3 linked regions of the Drosophila melanogaster genome follow. The protein of the gene in region 3 interacts with the protein of the main gene of each other region in a pairwise test. Each region holds a gene or a part of one and is shown on either strand. Other genes may lie near its edges. The genes, in order: Cyp6t3, CG42597 and Obp18a.

Region 1 (4,036 bases), on a different chromosome or scaffold from region 3:
CGAAAGACTTCATGTCTTTGATGAGTCTGCTCAAGTGCCGGATTTGACTCAGATAAACCAGGAGAAGAAGATCAAGACAGAGGAGACGGCGCCAAAAACCCGAGAGGCCATTGTCGAGAAGATATGCACAGATGTTTTGGCTGCAGTTGCTCTTGCCGCTGGAGTTCCTCATTCCGGTTTGAAAAAGGAGGCGCTCAACATCGTTCTTATGCTGATCAAGCGGCTGAGCGGAAGCGGAAACGGAAACCAGCAGCCACTGAGGTTGATCAAGCAGAGCTTTGAATCGAATTTGGAAAAGTTCCAGCGCGATTCGGCGCCGGAAATCCGGTGTCGCATCAAGGACATCGAAGACAAGCTAAGCAAGTTGAATCCACAGAATTAAGTCATATTAATATAAGCATTTCAAGGATGTGTGTGTGGCCAAAAAATCTGCCTTGGGTAGATTTTATAAAAGGGGGTAAGCGTTAAAAGAAAACATCTAACTTTGGCAAAAATGAATAAGTAACTTGCATGAAGATAATTTTCTATTGTGATTCATTGATCCAGGAGTGTAAGGAAACCTTAAATATACTATCATAAATACTTTCAGTTTCGTTTTAAGTTCAAATTTTAGGGAGCTATTTAGATTATCTATTCTATTTAGATTATAGGAACAAAGGTGATTACATATCACAGCCGATTGTTTTAGGATGCCTATAACTCTACAAACTACTCCTGCAGAATCTTAGGTATATCTCATTCTCAGACTCCAACATGAAGGACTTTGGATTAAAGCGAATCTCCGATACTGTTCGCTCGCAAGTCTCAACCCAATATTGCTTTAAAATGTGCACTATGCCCAGTTTCAATTGGAGTACGCCCAGGCGACTACCAATACAGCCATGTGGACCTGCTCCAAAGGGTATGTAGGTCATCGGGTGGATGTGCCTAGATCGCTCCGGACCGAATCTCTCGGGATCAAAGACGCAGGGCTCCGGCCAAAACTGGAATTTAGATTGACATAAGTAAGTTGGGATAATCATCACCTTTGGTTTTAAATCTAACCCTTTCATCGCGATGGAGGCCGAGTATTGAGATGTATGCTGGCATCCCTGGTGGCACTATGAAATCCACATGCGGTTGCAGTGAGAATCCCTCGGATGCCGAACTGGTGCACTCTCTGTTGACGAAAGCAGCAGCCGGATAGAGACGCAGTGCCTCCAAACACACCATTTTGAGATAGGGCAAAGTCATCAGTGTGTCATAGCTTAGGGTAGCAGTGGAGATGAAGGCTTCTCGTAGCTCACTCCTCAGTCGTTCTTGAATATCCGGAGCCTTGGCCAACTCATAGAGAGTGAATCCCATCAGGGCTGAGGAGGTTTCAAATCCGGCCAGCAGTATGATACCCGCCTGCGAAGCAACAAAGTCCGGATGCTGGGAATAGTGGTTGGATGAGCGGCTCAACTGAAAGTGCTGCAATTGATTGATGAGATCTCCTTTGGTGGGCTCGTGATGATCATCTACCAAGTGCCTCATATAGCGCGCATAGTCTTCGGTAAAAACTTTGGGCTTCAGCACACCCGTCCACTTGGGCAGAAAGAATACACTCATGAAGTCCAAAACCTTGCGGGGATTGGTGTTAAATAGCTCCTTGGTTTTTGTTATCAACTCGGATCGACCACGACGCAATCCGCCGACATTCAGGCTGTAGAAGAGATTCCCCGTCACGTCGGTGGTGTACAACTGGCACATTCTTCCCAACGGGAGAACGCGCTCCAGCCGATCCCCCAGCTTCCTGTTGAGGTACTGCTCCAAGTCGCTGGCCACATCCAACATTTGGCTGTACATGACATCCCGCATACGGCCGCTGGTGAAGAGCTGGGACATGCATTGCCGACTCTCCTTCCAGTGATGGTACTTAGCCAGCGGTAGCGTCAGTGCACCCATGGGATCTCCGGCGTCCGCCGATTCGAACCGGTTGAGAAAGTTGTTGAAATTCTTAATCAACACCTGGCGGATTAGCTCCGGATCCCGAACCATAAGCGCCGGCGTTTGGAATATGAAGAAGCCAACGATCTTCGCCTGACCATTTCGTGGATCTGCGTAGAGCTGCCGAAAGAGATCGCCAAAAGAAATGCGCAGAAATAGAAGTTGTCCCAAATTGCCCATTGGTGACCAAGAGGAGGGTGGCAGGTGCGGAATCCCACGGCTCCTGAAGTAATCGTACTTGTGCCTTAACCAAAAATTCAGAGTCACAATGGTGAGCAACAGCAGCCAGATGAGCAGCATGGTGTCTATAAGATATAAGATAGAATATTATAACTATGAAATATATACCAGCATTAGGTAAAGATAGCTAAGATCCAAAAAGTCGTTCTTTTGAATGAGGAGGAGACCTTGTTCACGACCGTCAAGAAATGCATTTCCATATGCATAAGTTGAACCTGACCCACTTAACATCTCGACAAGCACTTCCATTCACAAATAGATTCATTCATTGCACTCAGGATCATCTTGATGATCTCATAGTAGAGTTTCCGCTTACCCAAAGCTTTAACTCTATGGTGCTGGCAATATTTCAGCCAGTTGGACATTGGGTTTGGTGGCGTTAGCATGGAACTGGTACTGCTGATCCTCGTGGCATCCCTAATAGGGATTGCCTTTCTGGCGCTGCAGCAGCATTACTCCTATTGGCGGCGAATGGGAGTACGCGAAATCAGGCCCAAATGGATAGTGGGCAACCTGATGGGACTGCTCAACATGCGAATGAGTCCCGCGGAGTTCATATCGCAATTGTATAACCATCCCGATGCGGAGAACGAACCCTTCGTGGGCATCCATGTGTTCCACAAGCCGGCGCTGCTTTTGAGAGACCCCGAAATGGTGAGAAATATCCTGGTCAAGGACTTCGCTGGCTTCTCCAACCGGTACTCGAGCTCCGACCCCAAGGGCGACCCTTTGGGATCCCAGAACATATTCTTCCTGAAGAATCCCGCCTGGAAGGAGGTACGTTTGAAGCTATCGCCCTTCTTCACCGGCAATCGACTGAAGCAGATGTTTCCCCTGATCGAGGAGGTGGGCGCCAGCTTGGATGCCCATCTCCGCCAGCAGCCGCTGCACAACGAGCGGATGCGCTGCTTCGACTTGGAGGCCAAGGAGCTGTGTGCTCTCTACACCACGGATGTGATAGCCACGGTAGCGTACGGAGTGAGTGCCAACAGTTTCACGGATCCGAAGTGCGAGTTCCGCCGCCATGGACGTTCTGTGTTCGAGTTCAACCTGCTGCGTGCCGCGGAGTTCACTCTAGTGTTTTTCCTGCCCCACCTGGTCCCGTTCGTTAGATTCAAGGTGGTGCCGGCGGAGGCCACTCGTTTTCTGCGCAAGACCATCAACTATGTGATGTCGGAGCGGGAAAAATCCGGACAGAAGCGCAACGATCTCATCGACATTCTCATTGAGTTCCGTAGGAGCACGCAGCTGGCGAAGGCATCGGGTATCAAGGATCAATTTGTGTTCGAGGGCGACATCCTGGTCGCCCAGGCGGTACTCTTCTTCACCGCCGGCTTTGAGTCCTCCTCCTCGACCATGGCGTTCGCGATGTACGAGTTGGCCAAGGATACGGACGTACAGCAGCGCCTGCGGGAGGAGATCAAGGATGCACTGGTCGAAAGTGGAGGTCAGGTGACGCTGAAGATGATCGAGTCACTGGAGTTCATGCAAATGATTCTGCTGGAGGTGCTGCGCATGTATCCGCCACTGCCGTTTTTGGATCGCGAGTGCACTTCTGGGAGGGATTACTCGCTGGCTCCGTTCCACAAAAAGTTCGTGGTGCCCAAGGGCATGCCCGTTTATATACCCTGCTATGCCCTGCACATGGATCCCCAGGTGGGTTGAGATACATTTTGCATACATTACCCAACGACTACCCTTTTCCAGTACTTTCCTCAACCGCGAAAATTTCTGCCTGAAAGATTCTCGCCCGAGAATCGCAAGCTCCACACGCCCTACACCTACATGCCCTTCGGCCTGGGTCCGCATGGCTGCATCGGAGAACGTT
Region 2 (2,940 bases), on a different chromosome or scaffold from region 3:
ATACAATACATTAAGTAAACATAAGTAGCGCTTTTTATTACATAATGGCCCAAGAGAGAGTCAATCGCACATGTGTTCTTCACAGAGTTCGAGCCACTTTCTATGTTAATTGTTTGGTGGCACAAATGTTACTAATTACACCCACACCTTTAGCGCAACTGCAGCTTATGTTTCTCGAATTTTCTTGCCTAAGGGATCACGGATGTCCTTTTGTATAATAACCGTAAGACATGATTTGTTCGAAATCATTTTCTCCAACGGTAATTATTTCACTCAGATTCCATTTAAGCGCGCCCAAACAGTTAAATGTCTTACAAGTTTCCGCTCCCACCCGTGACATATTTAATTGCCCTATGGCTTCGAATCGAGACATTAGAAAAACCTGTTGTTCTTCTTAAGTAAAGGTCGTATGCTAACATTTACAAAGGTGCATCGCATCCTTTTGTGAATATCGAGCTTCATTAAGCATTGGGGTGCATAGATATCAAAGACTATATTTGACTATTTCACTGTTAAAAGAACAAAGAGATGGGTACTTGAAATTAGAGATAACCAATTTTTTTTTTTTGAGCACCCTTTTAATAAAAAAGTGCACATAAACTAGAAATGGTATCCCAAATTAATAGAAGGAACCGAAAACGATGTGGGTCCTTTTGCTTATTTAAAAGATTTCTGTTTGGACGAAGGACGACTTTGTTGTGTGATGATTCTCCAAGACTGTTGTGCCATTTTCCAAACTTTGGCCGGTCGATTTGTAATGGCACCCACTATCACTAAAAAGATAACTCCCAATAAAATCGTGCCGATCTCCTGGAAATTAGTGTTTGTACGGCTGCCCAGGCCCAACCAATTGGTTATAACATTTATAAAGTTGACGAGAAGCGTTTCCATGGAAAGCCATACGCCCACCATCAAAGTTTCGCCAATAAGGATGGCGATAATGGTCTCAAGGATAAACTTTCCCCACCGCGGAATGTTACTCCAGTGCGTGGGTATTACCTCTGTGTCGCACAGCAGATCCATCACTGATAAATAGAATAACTGGCTACCAAAGACGGGGGTGTCTGCAATTATACCCGGATCTAGATGTATGAAGAGCGTTGTGTGGAGCACCATGTGCACAACGAAGGCCAATAGAACAGGCGTGGGACTGGTCATTTCCTTAGAAAGGGATATTGGTTAACTATCGGGTATTGCCTGTATATAGACGTTAGAAGTGACTTGCCTGCGCGGTCTTGTAAATATGTATAAGTTACACAAATTTAGAATGAATAAGGTAAAAAAAACAAAACACATTGTTTTGTTTGTTTCAATTTAAAATGCTTGCTGGGTCGGAGAATAATTCCTGTATTGCGTTGGCAAGTTAAATGAAAACTTTAGGGACTTCAAAGTTGAAAACCAGCTGAACTCGTGGAAGACTAAAGCAGATAAAAAATTGATTGATTTTTATGAAGTCTACCTTACCTTTACCACTACCTTTTAAAACGGATTATACCTACTCCCTTATCTTTTGTAATATGTAATGTCAATATCTTTATGCGAGAGGTTAGTACGTGCTTCATTGTTCACTTTGCCTGTAAAAATTGGCTTTGGCACTGAATGTTTAATTCTGTCAGCTAAAAAATGCATAAATATCATTTTAATTAGAAAATTAGCCGAAAATATGCAGCTCACGTTAATCGTATGACGTCGTCGTCGTTGCTATAGTTGCAACATGGAAACGAAACTGAATCGCAATTGAAAACTTAGGTGGAGGGGATACGAATCTCATGCAATATCCAGAAGATACATCCCCAACGCACTCACCTCGAATGCGGAGCACCACTTCTGGCTCCACTCCGTGCTCCTAATACCGGAAATCATTTGCATTTTACTTAAATTAGTGTTTCTTGCAAACAATTGCTGTAGAATTATTTATATAGCAGTACCATTTAATTGTGCCGCCATTTTAAATTCCAATTAGATATCCAATGGAAGTCCGGCCAAAAGCCAACATCACTAAAAAGAAATTGGAATTTTTATCAAAGCAAGGAAGTCGTAAGCTCACTTTGATGAAGTTTTGTCATTTAGCCAAATAAGAATACGCGTACTGCTCGCCAGACCCACACAAAATGGTTCGCTTTTGTGTGCGCATATTTTTTTTCTCCTGCTAACTCAGTCACCTGTCGTGGATTCTAGCTTATTACGGTTTTTTGTGCTTATTGAACAGCCGCCACCAAAAATTCCAATATCAAAACTCATATTTGCCGATGTCGAGCGAAGCAAATTGAATGAGGAACACTGAACAGCTGCGAGAATTTAACATATTTGTAATATTACAAAAACTGCCAGTTGAATATCCGGTAGTTTTAGTATTAAAAAAAAGTTCATATAAATATGATTCCTGCTGAGGCCTACCTATGATTCGCATTTTTGAATAATTCATCGAATTTACAATTAAACTTTTTATACCCGATATTCGTAGAGTAAAAGTATAAAAAAATGGTTGAGCGCTTACGGACAAGACGTAAGATCGCAAATAAACTGGAGTCTGGTGGCAAAACAGCACATGCTTTTGAGCGATTATTGGCAATTCGCACCATTAAATTGAGCAAGGGAAAATGTTCCGAAGACAGTGCAGAGCAGACGAAGTCTAGTGATGATTGCAAGGCACAAACGCGTAAGGATGTAAATATCGAGGTCAAAGAGACTTATTCCGGCGATTCCTCGCCTAACAGTGAGAGCGAGAATACAGCCCAAAACGATCCGCAAACGAACGTTGAAAGCGATGAACGCGTATCCAACCTGGAACAGCTGAGTCGAGCAGTGTTAAAACGGAACGACATAAAGAACTTACTGGGTAAACCTATTTTCGCGGAGGCTGTGATTGGATCCTTTGTGCGGCTAAATGTTGGAAAAGTCTACTCCATCTACGAAACTATTGCTCTGCATCAGGACAGT
Region 3 (3,307 bases):
TTATCTATATATATTTTATATTTACTTTATATTTATATATATTTATTATTATATTCTGCTGTTGATGATGCTCATCAGGTGTCAGCTGGGCGTCGCCGGGGGTGGCACGCTGACACTCCCTCGCTGCTGTCTATTTCTTCGCCGCTGAAGACGTCGATGGTCGCTCACAAGTCCCCAGGCAGTGGGGACTCCAGATTCCTTCGCAGCCAGGGGGGCAGGACTTCTTTGGTTTTGTTAATGCTGGTGCTGGTGCTGGACATGCCTGGTATTTTGGAACTTCATTAATTGTGGGTATATTTTTAATATTATCTGAGTGAGTTTTCTCGAGCTTATGGGTCTTTAATTCTTGCTGATATTGCAACAAGTGGTCTAGCTCTGCATGTAGCTTTAGAGCTTTCGACCAAACCGGTGGCGTTTGCTGACCGTATATTAGCCACCTTACGTGGGCTATACGTTTATTCAGCTTAGTTTTCAAACCGCCACGGTGTTTGCCCATACTCAATAGAACTCTACTCACTCAGATTTTTCCTTGGTTTTTGCAGTTCCATTTAATTAGTCCAGTCTTCTTCCAGTCCAGTGTTCCTTTGTTCCTTTGTTTTCACCAGCTTTGGTCAATTCGTCCAGCGTTGGACGACTGTCACGGTCGCCATGTAATGATGAACTCCAATTCAGAACACAAGTCCGTTTTAAGTTGAAGGCAGCCGTCGGGCTGACATATATTTATTCAATTTCTTCTTTTGATTTTAGAGTAGGCAGAAATGGTTCTGTCAGCTCAACGTCTACAGAGTCTCTCTGATTTTACAGTTTTTAATATATTTGGACTTAGGCTAATCCGCGTAGCTGCGCTGCCGGGTACGCCAGCAGCGGAGCGGCGTTCTTATGTATATCTTATATATCTAGGCTTATCGGGAGAGCGAGATATGTATGTACGTATGTAATATGTATTTGGTCGGCGTGTGAATGCTGACCATGCACTTATACTTTTTGCCTTCGAGTGGGTGATCATGTTACATCCGCCCTGGCCTAACTGCGTGCATAAACATAAACATAAACATAGCAACAAAGTGCTGCCATAAGTTAATATGCTATTTTATTTAATTGTTCTTAATATTGCATAGGCACATACTACAGTTTAACATAAGAATACTTTTTTTTTTTGTTGTCAGCTTTAAATGTACGTGTTTTATTGCTAATTTTAATGTTCTAATTACTTTATTTATTCATTGGAAATGGGAATTCGCATAGACGAGCCCATCACGAAAATACTTACCAAAAAAGACAGTAGACTAAGTTTATACTAAAGATAATTAGGGGAAACCGCAAGAAAACAAAGAAAAAAAAAATGCAAAACGATAAACATTGTGGCGGTACAGTGAGCACTGCCTGCGGCCAACCTAAAAACATGACGAAATATTTTTTTTTTTTTTACATCGTGTATAAGATGTGATATTCGCTGCAAATCGCAAAGCGTGAATATAATTTGTATTTATACCTATATTAATGAACCATATAAAATATACGAATAAAGTCCAATACAGTAGATAGGCTACACATATGTTTTTTGTTTAAACTTCAGAGATGCTTGGAGTGTAAAAGCCAAAAATTGTATGTTTTCTATCTTAATAAATATGAAGAAAACCAAGTTGGTAATTTACTATTGGCAATTGTAATGCAGATATTGCGCATACGACATACGTGTAGCTCATAATCGGGAACTGCGCTTAAAATTTCAATTATAGACTTTATTTGTTGGTGTGTGGCGAATGTAAAGTAGCATCCAATTATTTAATTAAAATCTCCTGTCTACTTTTGAGCTGAATTAGCAAATCGATGGGTTATATATATAGAGCTGTGATGATGCGCTCATTGTTAGTTGGGAAACAGATTTTCGCCATGAAGGTTGTGTGCAGCATAGCTGTACTATGGATTTGCTTGATAACTATGGTCAGTTCTTAACGAAATAGTTATGTGTCCATCTAACAATACCATCTATTCTAGTGGCAATCAGCTGGCCGCGTTAACGCAGAGGGTTGCCTAAAGCACCACAATCTGACCAGTGCCCAAGTGCAGGCAGTGGCTCCATCCACTCCCGTTGCGGATGTTCCAGTGGCCGTTAAGTGCTATAGCCGGTGTCTGATCCAGGATTATTTCGGTGATGATGGGAAAATCGATCTGCAGAAGGTGGGAAAGCGAGGATCTCAAGAGGACCACGTGATTTTGTCCCAGTGTAAGCAGCAGTTCGATGGCGTCACCAATCTGGACACGTGCGACTATCCATACCTGATTCTCCAGTGTTATTTTAAGGGCAAGCAGAGTGGAACTATCGCCTCGTAATTTACCAAATAAACAAAAAATAAAGTATACATATATACATTACTACATACATATATGTACACACACATGACAGACACAATGGGCTTCATCACAGTTCATTGTTGAGTCTTCTAATCAGATCAAACGCCCTCTAATGGAAATTACACACGATTGTGCTTAGTATAAGTGTGATTTTCATTATTATTATTTGTATACAGTGATTAATAATTGTATTAGAGCAAAATAGTAGACATGCATTGTTTTAAACTCGTCTGCTTTTTATTGATTTGTTTTATGCAAAGTAACGTAGAACTGGTGGAAATACATAATGCAATAATAAGTCAATCAGAGTCTTTATTTTCCGAAAATTCGCAAGAAACATGGCCAAATAAATAACAGAAAATTTCAGTTTGCTGACCAAATATGTATGTATGCATGTACATATGTACATATATGGGTGGACTGGGAAGCCAAACACAAAATTTTCCCCCTGCTTGAATAATATTTGAAATGGCAGATATGGAAGATGCAATTTGAACATAATTGAAATGCAAATCGCAGACTGTGAACTGCAGAACCGACTTGATGGGGCGGATGTGTGGACGTAATAATGAATCCCAGTCGACCCCACAGGATGCAGGGCAAATTTCAATTTTCCCAGCAAATCATACGTAAAGTTTGGCCAAATACATTTTGGGCCAAGAGGGCCAAAAAGGGCCAGAAGGATGTCAATGCAATCAGTGAGGCATTTGACTTGGCCTTTCATTAACTCGACTCAGCGCAGTCGAGTGCAAAGGACACAGTACATAGTACACAGGACGAAAGACGCAGGACGCAGGACGCAGGACATGGCACACGAACTCCTTGGGCGACATTGCGGCTGCCACAAAAACTTTTTGCTAGCCAATCATCAAGAAAGCCGCCGAGTCACTGGTTACTGGTTACGGGTTACTGGCAATACTGCTTATATGTTGGCAATAAGCAACGGCCCACC

The links.
Region 1: the proteins of Obp18a (region 3) and Cyp6t3 interact in a two-hybrid assay, tested with the Drosophila melanogaster proteins (one large-scale study listed by BioGRID).
Region 2: the proteins of Obp18a (region 3) and CG42597 interact in a two-hybrid assay, tested with the Drosophila melanogaster proteins (one large-scale study listed by BioGRID).

What each region holds. Positions count from the first base shown.
Region 1 is NT_033778.4:12,188,919-12,192,954, reverse strand, and holds Cyp6t3 (cytochrome P450 6t3), read right to left. Parts: upstream 2,274-4,036; 5' UTR 2,269-2,273; coding exon 1,045-2,268; intron 984-1,044; coding exon 702-983; 3' UTR 519-701; downstream 1-518. Other genes in the region: CG8858 (uncharacterized protein), read left to right, coding at 1-382; Cyp6g2 (cytochrome P450 6g2), read left to right, coding at 2,593-3,864, 3,916-4,036. UniProt on the Drosophila melanogaster protein: May be involved in the metabolism of insect hormones and in the breakdown of synthetic insecticides.
Region 2 is NT_033779.5:22,064,036-22,066,975, forward strand, and holds CG42597 (uncharacterized protein), read right to left. Parts: upstream 1,309-2,940; 5' UTR 1,226-1,308; intron 1,162-1,225; 5' UTR 1,159-1,161; coding exon 658-1,158; 3' UTR 569-657; downstream 1-568.
Region 3 is NC_004354.4:19,134,430-19,137,736, reverse strand, and holds Obp18a (Odorant-binding protein 18a), read left to right. Parts: upstream 1-1,868; 5' UTR 1,869-1,893; coding exon 1,894-1,944; intron 1,945-1,998; coding exon 1,999-2,334; 3' UTR 2,335-2,656; downstream 2,657-3,307.